3 linked regions of the Daphnia pulex genome follow. The protein of the gene in region 3 binds, or shares a complex with, the protein of the main gene of each other region. Links are inferred from orthologs where the notes say so. Each region holds a gene or a part of one and is shown on either strand. Other genes may lie near its edges. The genes, in order: splicing factor U2AF 50 kDa subunit-like, splicing factor 45-like and splicing factor 3B subunit 1-like.

Region 1 (3,752 bases), on a different chromosome or scaffold from region 3:
GCCGTCATGGCTTAGAAGTCCCGTCGGTGATAGCGTTCCGGTTCGTAAAATGACGTAACGACGATACGATTGGCGAACTTGCGACCTGTCAGCGCCTGCTGGGCTTTAACGCAGTCGCTCACCGAAATAAACTCGACGAAGACCTTGCCAACTCCCGGTACATCATCGACACCCTCCAACGGCCTGGGAATTTCGACTGAACGTACGGCTCCATGACGATTGCATTCCTCACGAATATCGTCCACAATTTCCTCATATTCCTCGTCGTCCCTCAATTCCTCGGGTGTCACCATGTTCAGCAGACATAGAACCTACGCAAAAGAAAAGACCAAAATGAAATTAAAAATTGTCGCATTAGACAAGGTTGATTTTTGTACCTCTGTCGGTTGGCCAGGACCGGCAGCAAGATTGAATCCTGGTACTTGAATCTGGACTGGCATCTGGGCGTAAGCAGCGGCGTTTTTGGCTCCAACACTGGCTCGCTGGATGATGATCTTTTTGTCTCCCAACTGCATACCGTTCAATCCGGAAATAGCCTGAAAGAAAAATAAAATTAGATGTAATGGTTTTTCAAGGAATATTATCATGGTCTACTTTACTTGATCGGTGACGGTGACGTCGGCATACTCGCAGAAAGCGTATCCCTTGGATAAGCCAGTAGCCGTATCTTTAACTAAGTTAAAGGCTCGAAGTTGTCCAAAAGACATCAGCAATTCCTTTACCTAAATTCGAATGAGACAATTTGCGTGCGTGCCTAGAGTCGACCTTCAAAAATAACAATCTAGGGATCGACGGTGGGGAGATGGATCGAGGTTGTGTGGTTGGAATGGGTAGGAAGTTTTAAGGATCACGTGACCACTGTTTAGGGAGAACGAAAGAAGAAGACATTCATCAGAATCGATTTTGCTTCAACTAGACGCTCACAAATCCCATTTCTCTCACTCTTTTTTCTTCTCCCAATCGAAAACACATTTTACAGTCACATCGACGAAACAGGTAACTTACTTGTTCTTCGTTTAAGTAATTTGGAAGTCCACCGATGAACAATTTGTGGGGTGTATCCGGGACGATCGTGCTCACTGAGCAAAAAACAATGAATACATTAAAGAAATTTGCCATAAAAGAATCACTTTAAGTCGTCCTTACTTGTGCCTCCTCCTCCTCCACCACCTCCACCTCCAGCCCTCTTTTCAGTTATACCACCAGAACTCATGCCGGGCGTTGTTTCGGGACCACCACCTCCTCCTCCTCCGCCGCCACCACCAGGTGTTGGATGATAATCATGGGGTCTGCGGATTTTTAGAGTTTGACCTTTAAAGTTAATACCGTCAAAAGCCATGGCCTGGGAAGTTTCATCAATTGACCGAAACTGAAAAGTAAAAGAGCAAAATTATTTAAATATTCCACTAAAATACTAGGTTTCACGTGAAAACAATCCAACAAACCTCCAAGAATGCAAAATTCTTATCCAGATTAATTTGACAAGCTAAAATGGGATGACCTGGAGCTTGAGACAGACCAGACAAATGCATCTGTTGATTGAAGAAATCCATCATTTCCTCCTCCGCTGCGCGTACATCAGAAACTCCAAAAGGAATATTCCCAACATAGAGTCTCCTGGCTTGACGAGTGATTGTGTTACCCACTACTGGTACTTGGACTTGTGGGGCTACTTCCGTCATTATGTTAGCTGGAATTTGTCCGGCAGCTACGTAGATTCAAGAAAATAATAATTAGCACATTAAAATTGAAACTTGAATAAGGATTTATACCTTGCATTGCTTTGTATTGCATGGGTGTGATGTGTTCGAAACCAATAGGAGGAATATCCCAGTAAATAGACGGCTTTCTTCGGCGTTGCTTTTTAACAGGAGAACGACTCCTTTTGCGTTCACGTTCACGGGACTTGCTACGCTTCTTCTCCTTCTCCTTTTCCTTAGATTTAGACCTTCTCTTTCTGTCACGAGACCTGGACCGTCTACGATCCCTGTCTCTATCTCTTTCCCTATCCTTGTCTCTTTCCTTGTCCTTTTCCTTATCTCTGGAACGGTCACGATCTCTCTCCCTGTCAACTAAAGTATTTCAAATGTTAATAAATCAAACAAGTAAGTTTACTTGCTTGACTACCTTCTAACTACTATGACTAATATTTCCATACAAAAGCAAAACCACGAGCCAACATTATAAACCATTAAAAGTTATGAAATTATGTGTAAAATACAACCAGATCATTAAACACCCATTACTTGTAAGTAATGTGTGTTAAACATTTCTTTCTTAAGCATCACAGACTCTTAAGAACATTACAAAAGCATTATAGTTGATATTGACAGAAGTAGTTTAGAGAAGTTAAAACATACCTTTACGATCATCTTTATCTTCTCCCATGATTAACGTGTGATTGTTAGCTTTTGTACGACAATAAGAAGAAACACAGCAGAGGAAAACAGTTAATTATTGTCCAAATTTTCACTAAGACTGTAAGCCGGTTTGATTAAAGGCTGGGAATGGGCGAATGGCGTCGGAGACGAGGTTCGATTGACTCCTTGTACCGGCAACGTCGATTTAATGTTTACAATTTCAAACTTGGTTTTGATTAATATACTGAAAGGTAAGATTAAATATTTCATAAAATAATAGCCACATAAAATTTATTTTCTGAGTAATTGTTGTATTCATGTTAATCCTCATTAGTTGTCATTTTGCCAATTGACAACAGTCTATGCTACATTTTGACACATATAATCGTCTGCTTGACTAGCTACATCAGTTATACAGACAAGCACGTGTTTGGATAGATTTAAAAGATGAATCACTCTTCAGTTAAAAAAGAAGCTTCTATTGTTACTAAAGCAAACACATCAAAGAAGAGACCACCCAATAAAAGAGGAAGAATAATTATTCGCAATTTATCTTTCAAAGTAAGCCAAGAAACTTTAATTTATGCTACTTTTAGTATGTTAGTAAGTTAGTACTTGATTTAATTTATTAACAGGCAACAGAAGAAGCTGTTAAAAACTGGTTTGAGAAATATGGAGAAATTGAGGATGTGAAATTATTAAAGAAACCTGGTGGCACTTTAGTTGGCTGTGGTTTTGTTCAATTTAAAACAGTTCCATGTGCGGCTACAGCAATCAAAGAATGCAATGCAAAACCATTTCTTGGTAAGAAAATTTTAACATTTTAAATTTGATAATAGCTTATCAATTGTTTTTTTTTTGTAGGAAGGCAAATAGCTATTGATTGGGCCATACCAAAACAACAGTATGCCACTTTAAATAATAAAACTGACGAAGTTCCAAACATTGAGCCGCCAGAGAAGAAAAATGACAGAAAAGATGAAGAATCTGATGATGAAGAAAGTAATGATGAAGAAGAAGATAATGATGAAGAAGAACAAGATGGAGAAGCTTCTGATTCTGAAGTTGAGAATGGTTCCGGTGAAGAAGAAAGTCCAAAAAAAGAAGAAGCTTGGAAGGGTGATAATTCTGAAATAGAAAAGAAGAGTGATGTAGCAGAAGGAAAGACTCTTTTTATCAGAAATTTGGACTTTTCAACCACAAAAGACTCGTTGAAAAATTTCATGGAAAAATTTGGCAGTGTTCACTATGCATTGTTGTGTATGGATAAAATTATGGAGAGACCCAAGGGCACTGGATTCGTAAAATTTAGAGTAAGTTGCATTATTGCAAAAATAAATACATACTAATAACTTTTCATATTAACCATTTTTAGGATTCGGAATCGGCTCA
Region 2 (3,726 bases), on a different chromosome or scaffold from region 3:
TAAGCACGTACGTTATTGAGCATTTGAGCTATATTAAATGTCAAAATATGAGGTCAATAATAATGGCAATGACAGCTGACCTTGTTCTCGATCATGTTGAGACATGAACGATTCACGAAGAATTCTTTCAACATTATGATATCATAGGAATTTTGAGGCAAGAAGAGGTTCCCACTTTGCGTAGCTATTTCGAAGAACTACATATACTCATGGTTCTTGGAAACCGGATTATACTATTTAAAAAATACGTTAACGTCGATAGATCGTCCCCTATAAAATATTAACCTCATTTTTATATGAAAGTGGTTTAACCTACTGAATGTCACTTAAAAAACACTTAAGAAAAGAACCAATTTTCATGAAATTTTTTATGATTTGGAAACGGGATATATATATGGAAACCTACCGCCAAGTTTCCGAATTCAAATCTATACTTTTTTTATTACTAAATTCTAAGCATCCACTAGAAGTCTATTACTGATTTGCAGCTACGCTTGACAACTCAAATTTTAAAAAGTAGAATCTACCTTTTGATGAAAAATGAATGTAGTCGTGAAAATCAAAGTAAAGTAAATCTATTTTACACTTTGAATGTAGAACCTTGCTTGATCAACACATTTTTGTGCAATTCAATTATTTGTTCTGGTGTGATATTGCGAGGACACGCTAGCTTGTGAAGTTAGAATTTGTTTTGCTTCGTAGTAGTTTAAATTCATCTCTCTTCATCCCTTTTAAGGAATCAATCTTATTTCCTAGAACGAGAGAAAGGTTTTTCGTCCTAAAGGTCAAATGCTTCCAACTTTTGGGAACAACGCCATACCATGTAATTAAATTCAATTACTTTCGATTCGTAAAATTTATTTTTCAATACGTGTTCAATCATTCAGCTCCATCTTGAGAAATCTTTCCACATCATAGAATCCGGCTTTCACCTGCCGACCAGCAAAGAATCGGCCGTTGAGATCAATTACGGCTACAAAAAGAAACGACAGTTAACAATTTTTAACAGACCTGTGTTATTGTTCAACTGTAGTTAATTACCTTTGATGGCAGCTTCCATTCGTTTAAATTCAACAAAAATCCGTACAGCTTCCTCTTCCTCGGCGTTAGGTACCTCGAAAATAACAACTTTATTCACATCCCCGTATTTTGTCTGACATTCCTCGCGTACTTCGGGTTCCAAATCAGAATCCACTTCACCAGGGCCAACCATATTCTAATGAAAGGGGAAACAAACAAACAACAGAATTTGAAATGAGGACCGTGAAAATGATTGACCTATGACATTACCCTCAGATAAATCACTTTTGAAGGATTCTTCATGATATCAGCAATCGTTAATTCCGCTTTGGGAGCAGCTGTTGGCGACACAACAGGTGGCGGAGGAGGCATAATTTCTTTTTCATTGATAATACGTCCACCTCGCTTGCTTGTTTTTTCCACTTGTAAGGCAGCTGCAATACCTTGCTGTTGTCGTCCAAGTCCCTGACCTTCTTTGAATCCATATTTTGCCATGATCTTAGCAGCAACACCAAGAGCTCCAACCCCACTTCCAGTAGAGGAGAGAGAAGGATGAGATGGCGATGAGTTGTCTTGTAATGATGGAGGTGGGGCAATGGCAACTCCACCAGAAGTAGAGGACTTCTTCACCATTGGTTCCTCTTCCTCATCATGTAAACGTCCAGCAAAACCTGATCCTACAGCAGATGAGGACCTAAAACATGAAATGGTTATGTAATCAGTTTCTATCATCACCATATTTATTAGGCAGCTCCCAGTCCCATTATATACCTGTCTCTGGTTTTAATATCTCGATCATCCCTAGGCTTCCTTTTCTTTTCAGCTTCTTCTATTTCAATTTCAATCCCTCGTCGTTCCTTTCTCTCTAAACAAAAAACAAAAAAAAAAACAAAAATTATTGTATTCAGATTTTTCATTTTCTATAAAAGGTGCTGTGTACCCCTAATGATTTTGTCATAGTCAGTAGGATGCAGTGGATCATACTCTAGATTTGGGTCCCATTCCAATTCAGCAAAGAGTGAGGATCTCTCTTGTTTAGGAACAATAGTTGTCAAGAGTTGGGGTGTCTGATGAATCAGATTTTTGGTCATTTCAGGTTCAGTTTTTATCTGTGATTCAGTAGCTGTGAGGCAGGGTGGTATTACAGGATGGATAGCTCTTCGGATACCTTCACGTTTTGGCTAGGAAAAACAAATCTTTCTTCATAATCTATGAGTAACAAATGAAATGTAAATTGTAGGATACCTGTGTAATCATAGCTTTCTTTAAGTGCATCTGCGAATGTAAAAGCTTGATTCCTGACGACCATCCGGTGACAGATTTAGCTTTATTTTCGTCGATATCATCGTAAAGAGACATTTTCACAGCAAAGTAATTTCTTATATCCGTTGAATTAGTTGTCGTTCAAATCGTTTTTAAACAGAGCTCAGGACGCCTTCGCAGTAACATACACAAGAAATAAAAATAGACGACGAATGCAAATTGTACTGTATTTTTTTATGTTTTGATGTATTCATCTCATGAAAGGTGAAGGTGACTACTAAACAGCTACCTAAATCTGCAGTGAGGAACCAGGGGGCAGGGGCATGCCAGGGCCCAGCAGGGCCAGGGCCCAGGGGTGGCCAGGGGTGGCCAGGCACTACAGATACAGCGATACTACCCTGTTTCTACTTATAAATAATTGAATTGTTTTTTTGTCAATTAAACACCTTGCTTTTCGGATACGGAATAGAAAATACGGAGCTTCTCCCAAAAAATTGCCTCCTTGCGCATATCGTTGATTTTTGATTGTTTTGGGACAGGAATATTTTTGGGTCGGCCCTTTTACGAGTTACGACACCTCCAAATGTCGCCACAGTTGTGTGCCGTTAATTGTATGCGTATCTATATTATCGAGCGGACGGACTTGTTATAAGAGGTGTCTGTGACGAAGAATCAGTGACGAGAAAGAATAAAGTTATTTATATCGCAAATTCCAACAATTGGTTTGTGAGAAGTCACTGTTTTTCTGCAATAAAACTCAACGTGGCTACATCTTGCATCTGAACTTTCTGTAGCACCGAACAATAATTATTTTAATACTATTTTTAAATTAACTGAATTTAACCGAATCTTTAACGCTTCTTTTAAGAATCATTAATAATGATGCAGACACGTGTATTACTTCTTGAAAACCGGTAGCTATTAAACTTAAGCCGGGCGGAGATTACCGCCTTCGTTAGAGAAAACGAGACGACTTCTCCGTAGAAGAAACAGAAAGAGAACAATTAAAATCACGGAGAAGGAAAAGAAAGAAGAAAAGCGGCTGAGGAAAAGTTCTAAAAACGTGATGTAAGCTATTGTAGCTGAATTTGAAAGGAAATCTTGGGACGGTAGGGAGAGACATCGATTCCGAGTTACGACTAGATCATGGGCGTTTCGTATGAGTTAACCCAATGCTAGACAATTATAAACACGTAAATAGAACAATCAACGCTCGTAAACTATGAAGAATGGAGGAATGTATCTGTTATCGAAACATATTTTGCTGTGTTACGTCGTTTTCAAATTCAGACCAGGCGTCGTTCAGTTCCATAAAAATCATTTTTGCTATTTTCTCGTTGTCAGTTCCAGACTGTGTGATAATACATTCGAATTAAAGGCAACTTTTCTTACTAAATGTAAATGACGTGATAAATTTTACCAACCTGTTTGTCTGGATGCACT
Region 3 (3,701 bases):
GTAAATTCACCCTTTTTATATCTTTCAGCTTGCTCTCCTTCTCCGTAAACAAATAAGTTGTAATTAGGGAATTCAGTTGATGTTGGTTCATTTAATTTGATTTTCTATAATAACAGAATTTTTAAAAATGGCAATCTTTAATAAGGACAGAAGTAATACTCTTACAATATATTGCGGATATTCAAACATGAAGGTCATTTCGCATTTGTTGTCTTCCAATTCGAAAACAAAACGATGAATCCCTCGAATGAAGGAGAACGTGAGAAGGGAGCCAACTAACAGTTTGAGCAAATTGTTTTTCTTCATTTTCACGTAAAATTTATGTGTCTCCCTTCACGACAATACACTTTTCACCAGTAAATAGTTTAAGCAATATTATACCAAGATAAATATATTTTTTGTAAACTATGAAATTAGCTTAAAACTATGACAACAAAAAGGAAAATATTGTCATTTGACATTTCAAAATACTTACTAAGAATGTCGTCTGCACATCCGAATTGCATTGTTGCCAATATGCTGTAGAAATCATTGAAAAATATTTGACTCGTCGATATTCGATAACAACCATGAGTAATAAGGATTAGGAAATCATAATATAGTATGGAAAAAGGCATTTCATGACTCTTACTCGATAGAAATTGCCTTCAACTATTATTTTTCAAGCGTTTAAAGACTCAACTCAAGAGTCAAGAGTCAAGAGAGGCTGACCGGAGCCGCACGTCCGCACCGGCCATTTTATAAATACAGATTTATTATTCTATAAAAAATATTTAATACAGAAACGGAAAAAAACTTTCGTCTACAAATAGAAACTATAGACACACACAATTTGGTGGAATTCGACGATGAAATGTATAATTTGCATTTCTACGCATTTGAGATTTGATTTGACAGCAGCAACAAATCTTCATGCATGATCTGGCAACAAAGTGCGTTGTAAAGAAGAGTGGAGAAGCTCTAAAAATGGACGCGAATAATAAGGCACCGAATACGTACGACGGTAATATTGTTTTTCTATTTACATCATATTGGCAATTATTTCAAAGATAAGATAATTTACAGCTTTTTTTGCTACCCAAATTTTTATCATTGGATTATTTGGTTAACTTATTTACCTCTAGTTGCACATGTGTATAAGTGTCTCATAACAACTCTGAACATGCCATAATATTAACTGTGTTTAACATGTGGTTTGATATGTCTTTCCAGAAATTGCAGCTCAAGTTCAGGAAATCCAGTCAAGGAGCAAGGTAGATATATCTGAAAAAGATCGCATCGGATTTGGCGAATCAGGCATTTTTGATTCAGAAATCTACGGTGAAGTTCAAAGTCGATTTGATGGATATGTAACTTCAATTGCCACAACTGATGAAGTTGAAGAAGAAGATTATGATGGAGCAGTTGCCACTGGAGGCAGGCAAACTTTCACAGCACCAGCTGCGATTCTCAATGAAGTGGCAGGAGAAGACTTTGACCCATTTGCTGAACATCGCAGACCAACTATTGCTGACAGAGAAGATGAATACAGAGCAAAGCGTCGGAAGTTGATTATTTCCCCAGAACGTGTTGATCCATTTGCTGAAGGTAAATTTAATATTTTTTATTCATTTTAGTATACTTGCTTGTTGTAATGCAAAGTGGAACACATTATTCAATTTAATCTTATTTTAGAATTAAGAACATCTGTGATTGTGAAGTAAACTCTTTTTGTTTATCTATATTCTCATGTCGTGACCCAATGGCAAATTAAAAGAGTGCCATAGCAACCAGTTAAGTTAAGAGCTCTTGGAGGTGAGTAATCTAAGGCTCTCAAAGGGGAATTGTTACAAGAAACTATTAAGGATACTAGAAGCCAATATTAACCTAGAACAAGCTACTTAATTATAGGTGGATTATTCACTTGTGGGCCAGGAGCTGATCTGCTCAAATTCCCCTTCCGTAATCATCACCACGTATGTATTTGTAACTTCTTGTGGGCGAAGAAACTGGTTTAAGAGTTTTTTCTACTTCCGTCGCTCACAGGGAGTTTGGGTCTCGACTGCCAATTTTTTCTTTAAATTTCGATTACAAAATCTTCCTTACTTTGAATAATAACCCATTTTCCTTTTTTATATTGCTATTCTGTGCAGGCGGTAAAACCCCAGACGTTGGATCTCGCACTTACGCTCATATTATTCGTGAACAACAGTTGCGCGCAGAAGAGCAAGAGGTAATGACAATGGATAATTTATGGTGTAGTTGAGATTATACATGTAATCATTTGTATTCATTTCTAGGTCCGCCGGAAGCTTGCCGACAAAGCTAAGGATGGTACCTTAAAAGCTGTAACGGTACCATCAAACGGCGAATCAAATGAAGCGCCACGGAAACGTGCAGCCCGTTGGGATCAAACAGGTGAAGGTGACACAGGTCCTGCTGCCACTCCAGTTGCAGCACCAACTGTTCCTACGGTAAAGAAGAAAACCTGGGAAGTGGAAACGCCAGCAGTAGCTCGTTGGGATGAAACTCCTTCTCGCTCCAAAGGCTCTGAAACCCCGGCAGCTGGAGGTGTTACCCCTGGAAGTCGTCTGTGGGATGCTACGCCGGGAAATGACGACTCCCGCAAACGGAATCGCTGGGACGAAACACCGAAAACTGAAAGAGCCGGCGAATTTACTCCTGGTTTTGGTTCTGGTTGGGCTGAGACACCACGGACAGATCGTGGAGGAGACACAATCCAGGAGACACCAACTCCTTCGGCATCGAAACGTCGCAGCCGTTGGGATGAAACACCAGCTAATTCCAGTGCGACACCGTCTGGTGGAATGACTCCGCAAACTCCTTCACTATCTGGAGCTATGACTCCAAGAATGACACCGGGTGGAGCTACTCCAATCGGACAAAAAGCTATGGCCATGGCTACCCCAACTCCAGGACACCTTGTTACCATGACTCCTGAACAACTACAAGTAATCAGTGCATTATCCGTTTTGATGTTCAATATGTAACCCACAATGAAATTTATCGAAATAGGCATACCGATGGGAAAGAGAAATCGACGAAAGAAACCGCCCAATTGGAGATGATGAACTAGACGGGATGTTTCCAGAAGGCTACAAGGTCCTGCCTCCTCCAGCTGGATACATTCCTCTACGTACCCCGGCGCGCAAATTAACTGCAACTCCCACTCCATTAGCTGGGGCCAATTCGGGATTCTACATGCAACAAGAAGATAAAACTGCCTCAAAATACATGGACACACAACCCAAAGGCGGTAACTTGCCCTTTTTGAAGCCAGAAGATGCCCAATATTTTGACAAGCTATTGGTAATTATACTTAACTATTTCTTTTAAGTAAAATTAAAAAGTTTTTACTCTATTATTTTGCAGATTGATGTTGATGAAGATTCATTGAGCCCAGAAGAGCTTAAAGAACGAAAAATCATGACTCTTTTACTTAAAATCAAGAACGGTACCCCACCTATGCGTAAATCTGCATTAAGACAAATCACTGATAAGGTAAACTGATATATATTATTTTAAAGTAATTGTATCTTCAAACTGCGTTTATGTTTTTCAATAGGCTAGAGAATTCGGAGCTGGTCCACTTTTCAATCAGATCCTTCCTTTATTGATGTCTCCTACCCTTGAAGACCAAGAGCGACATTTGCTCGTTAAAGTTATCGATCGCATTCTCTACAAATTGGATGATCTAGTGC

Evidence for each region.
Region 1: the proteins of splicing factor 3B subunit 1-like (region 3) and splicing factor U2AF 50 kDa subunit-like are in contact, whole or in part, in a crystal structure (PDB 7SN6), measured with the Homo sapiens proteins. The link is inferred for Daphnia pulex from reciprocal best matches to the Homo sapiens genes SF3B1 and U2AF2. Residues at the interface, in NP_036565.2 of Homo sapiens: Ser336, Arg337, Trp338, Asp339, Thr341, Pro342, Ala343, Met346; in NP_009210.1 of Homo sapiens: Met383, Glu388, Glu394, Glu397, Ile398, Asp401, Val402, Glu405, Gln447, Gly448, Leu449, Thr450, Gly451, Arg452, Lys453, Phe454, Ala455, Val459.
Region 2: the proteins of splicing factor 3B subunit 1-like (region 3) and splicing factor 45-like are in contact, whole or in part, in a crystal structure (PDB 2PEH), measured with the Homo sapiens proteins. The link is inferred for Daphnia pulex from reciprocal best matches to the Homo sapiens genes SF3B1 and RBM17. Residues at the interface, in NP_036565.2 of Homo sapiens: Arg334, Ser336, Arg337, Trp338, Asp339, Glu340, Thr341, Pro342; in NP_001139019.1 of Homo sapiens: Leu309, Met312, Val313, Asp319, Asp321, Leu322, Glu325, Thr326, Glu329, Leu372, Arg375, Tyr376, Phe377, Gly378, Gly379, Val382.

Annotation. Positions count from the first base shown.
Region 1 is NC_060018.1:5,213,277-5,217,028, forward strand, and holds the start of splicing factor U2AF 50 kDa subunit-like, read right to left. Parts: upstream 2,542-3,752; 5' UTR 2,389-2,541; coding exon 2,361-2,388; intron 2,073-2,360; coding exon 1,773-2,072; intron 1,709-1,772; coding exon 1,446-1,708; intron 1,370-1,445; coding exon 1,147-1,369; intron 1,080-1,146; coding exon 1,006-1,079; intron 723-1,005; coding exon 600-722; intron 537-599; coding exon 378-536; intron 312-377; coding exon 12-311; 3' UTR 1-11. Other genes in the region: RNA-binding protein 28-like, read left to right, coding at 2,808-2,921, 2,996-3,164, 3,225-3,673, 3,736-3,752. UniProt on the Homo sapiens protein: Plays a role in pre-mRNA splicing and 3'-end processing. By recruiting PRPF19 and the PRP19C/Prp19 complex/NTC/Nineteen complex to the RNA polymerase II C-terminal domain (CTD), and thereby pre-mRNA, may couple transcription to splicing.
Region 2 is NC_060018.1:8,645,144-8,648,869, reverse strand, and holds splicing factor 45-like, read right to left. Parts: upstream 2,581-3,726; 5' UTR 2,380-2,580; coding exon 2,266-2,379; intron 2,202-2,265; coding exon 1,961-2,201; intron 1,886-1,960; coding exon 1,792-1,885; intron 1,715-1,791; coding exon 1,291-1,714; intron 1,217-1,290; coding exon 1,042-1,216; intron 974-1,041; coding exon 876-973; 3' UTR 842-875; exon of another isoform or gene 753-841; 3' UTR 560-752; downstream 1-559. Other genes in the region: cyclin-G-associated kinase-like, read right to left, coding at 3,530-3,634, 3,708-3,726. UniProt on the Homo sapiens protein: Splice factor that binds to the single-stranded 3'AG at the exon/intron border and promotes its utilization in the second catalytic step. Involved in the regulation of alternative splicing and the utilization of cryptic splice sites.
Region 3 is NC_060027.1:4,651,495-4,655,195, reverse strand, and holds the start of splicing factor 3B subunit 1-like, read left to right. Parts: upstream 1-877; 5' UTR 878-912; coding exon 913-1,003; intron 1,004-1,212; coding exon 1,213-1,587; intron 1,588-2,132; coding exon 2,133-2,212; intron 2,213-2,279; coding exon 2,280-2,951; intron 2,952-3,015; coding exon 3,016-3,309; intron 3,310-3,372; coding exon 3,373-3,501; intron 3,502-3,565; coding exon 3,566-3,701. Other genes in the region: GPI inositol-deacylase-like, read right to left, coding at 1-104, 166-306. UniProt on the Homo sapiens protein: Component of the 17S U2 SnRNP complex of the spliceosome, a large ribonucleoprotein complex that removes introns from transcribed pre-mRNAs.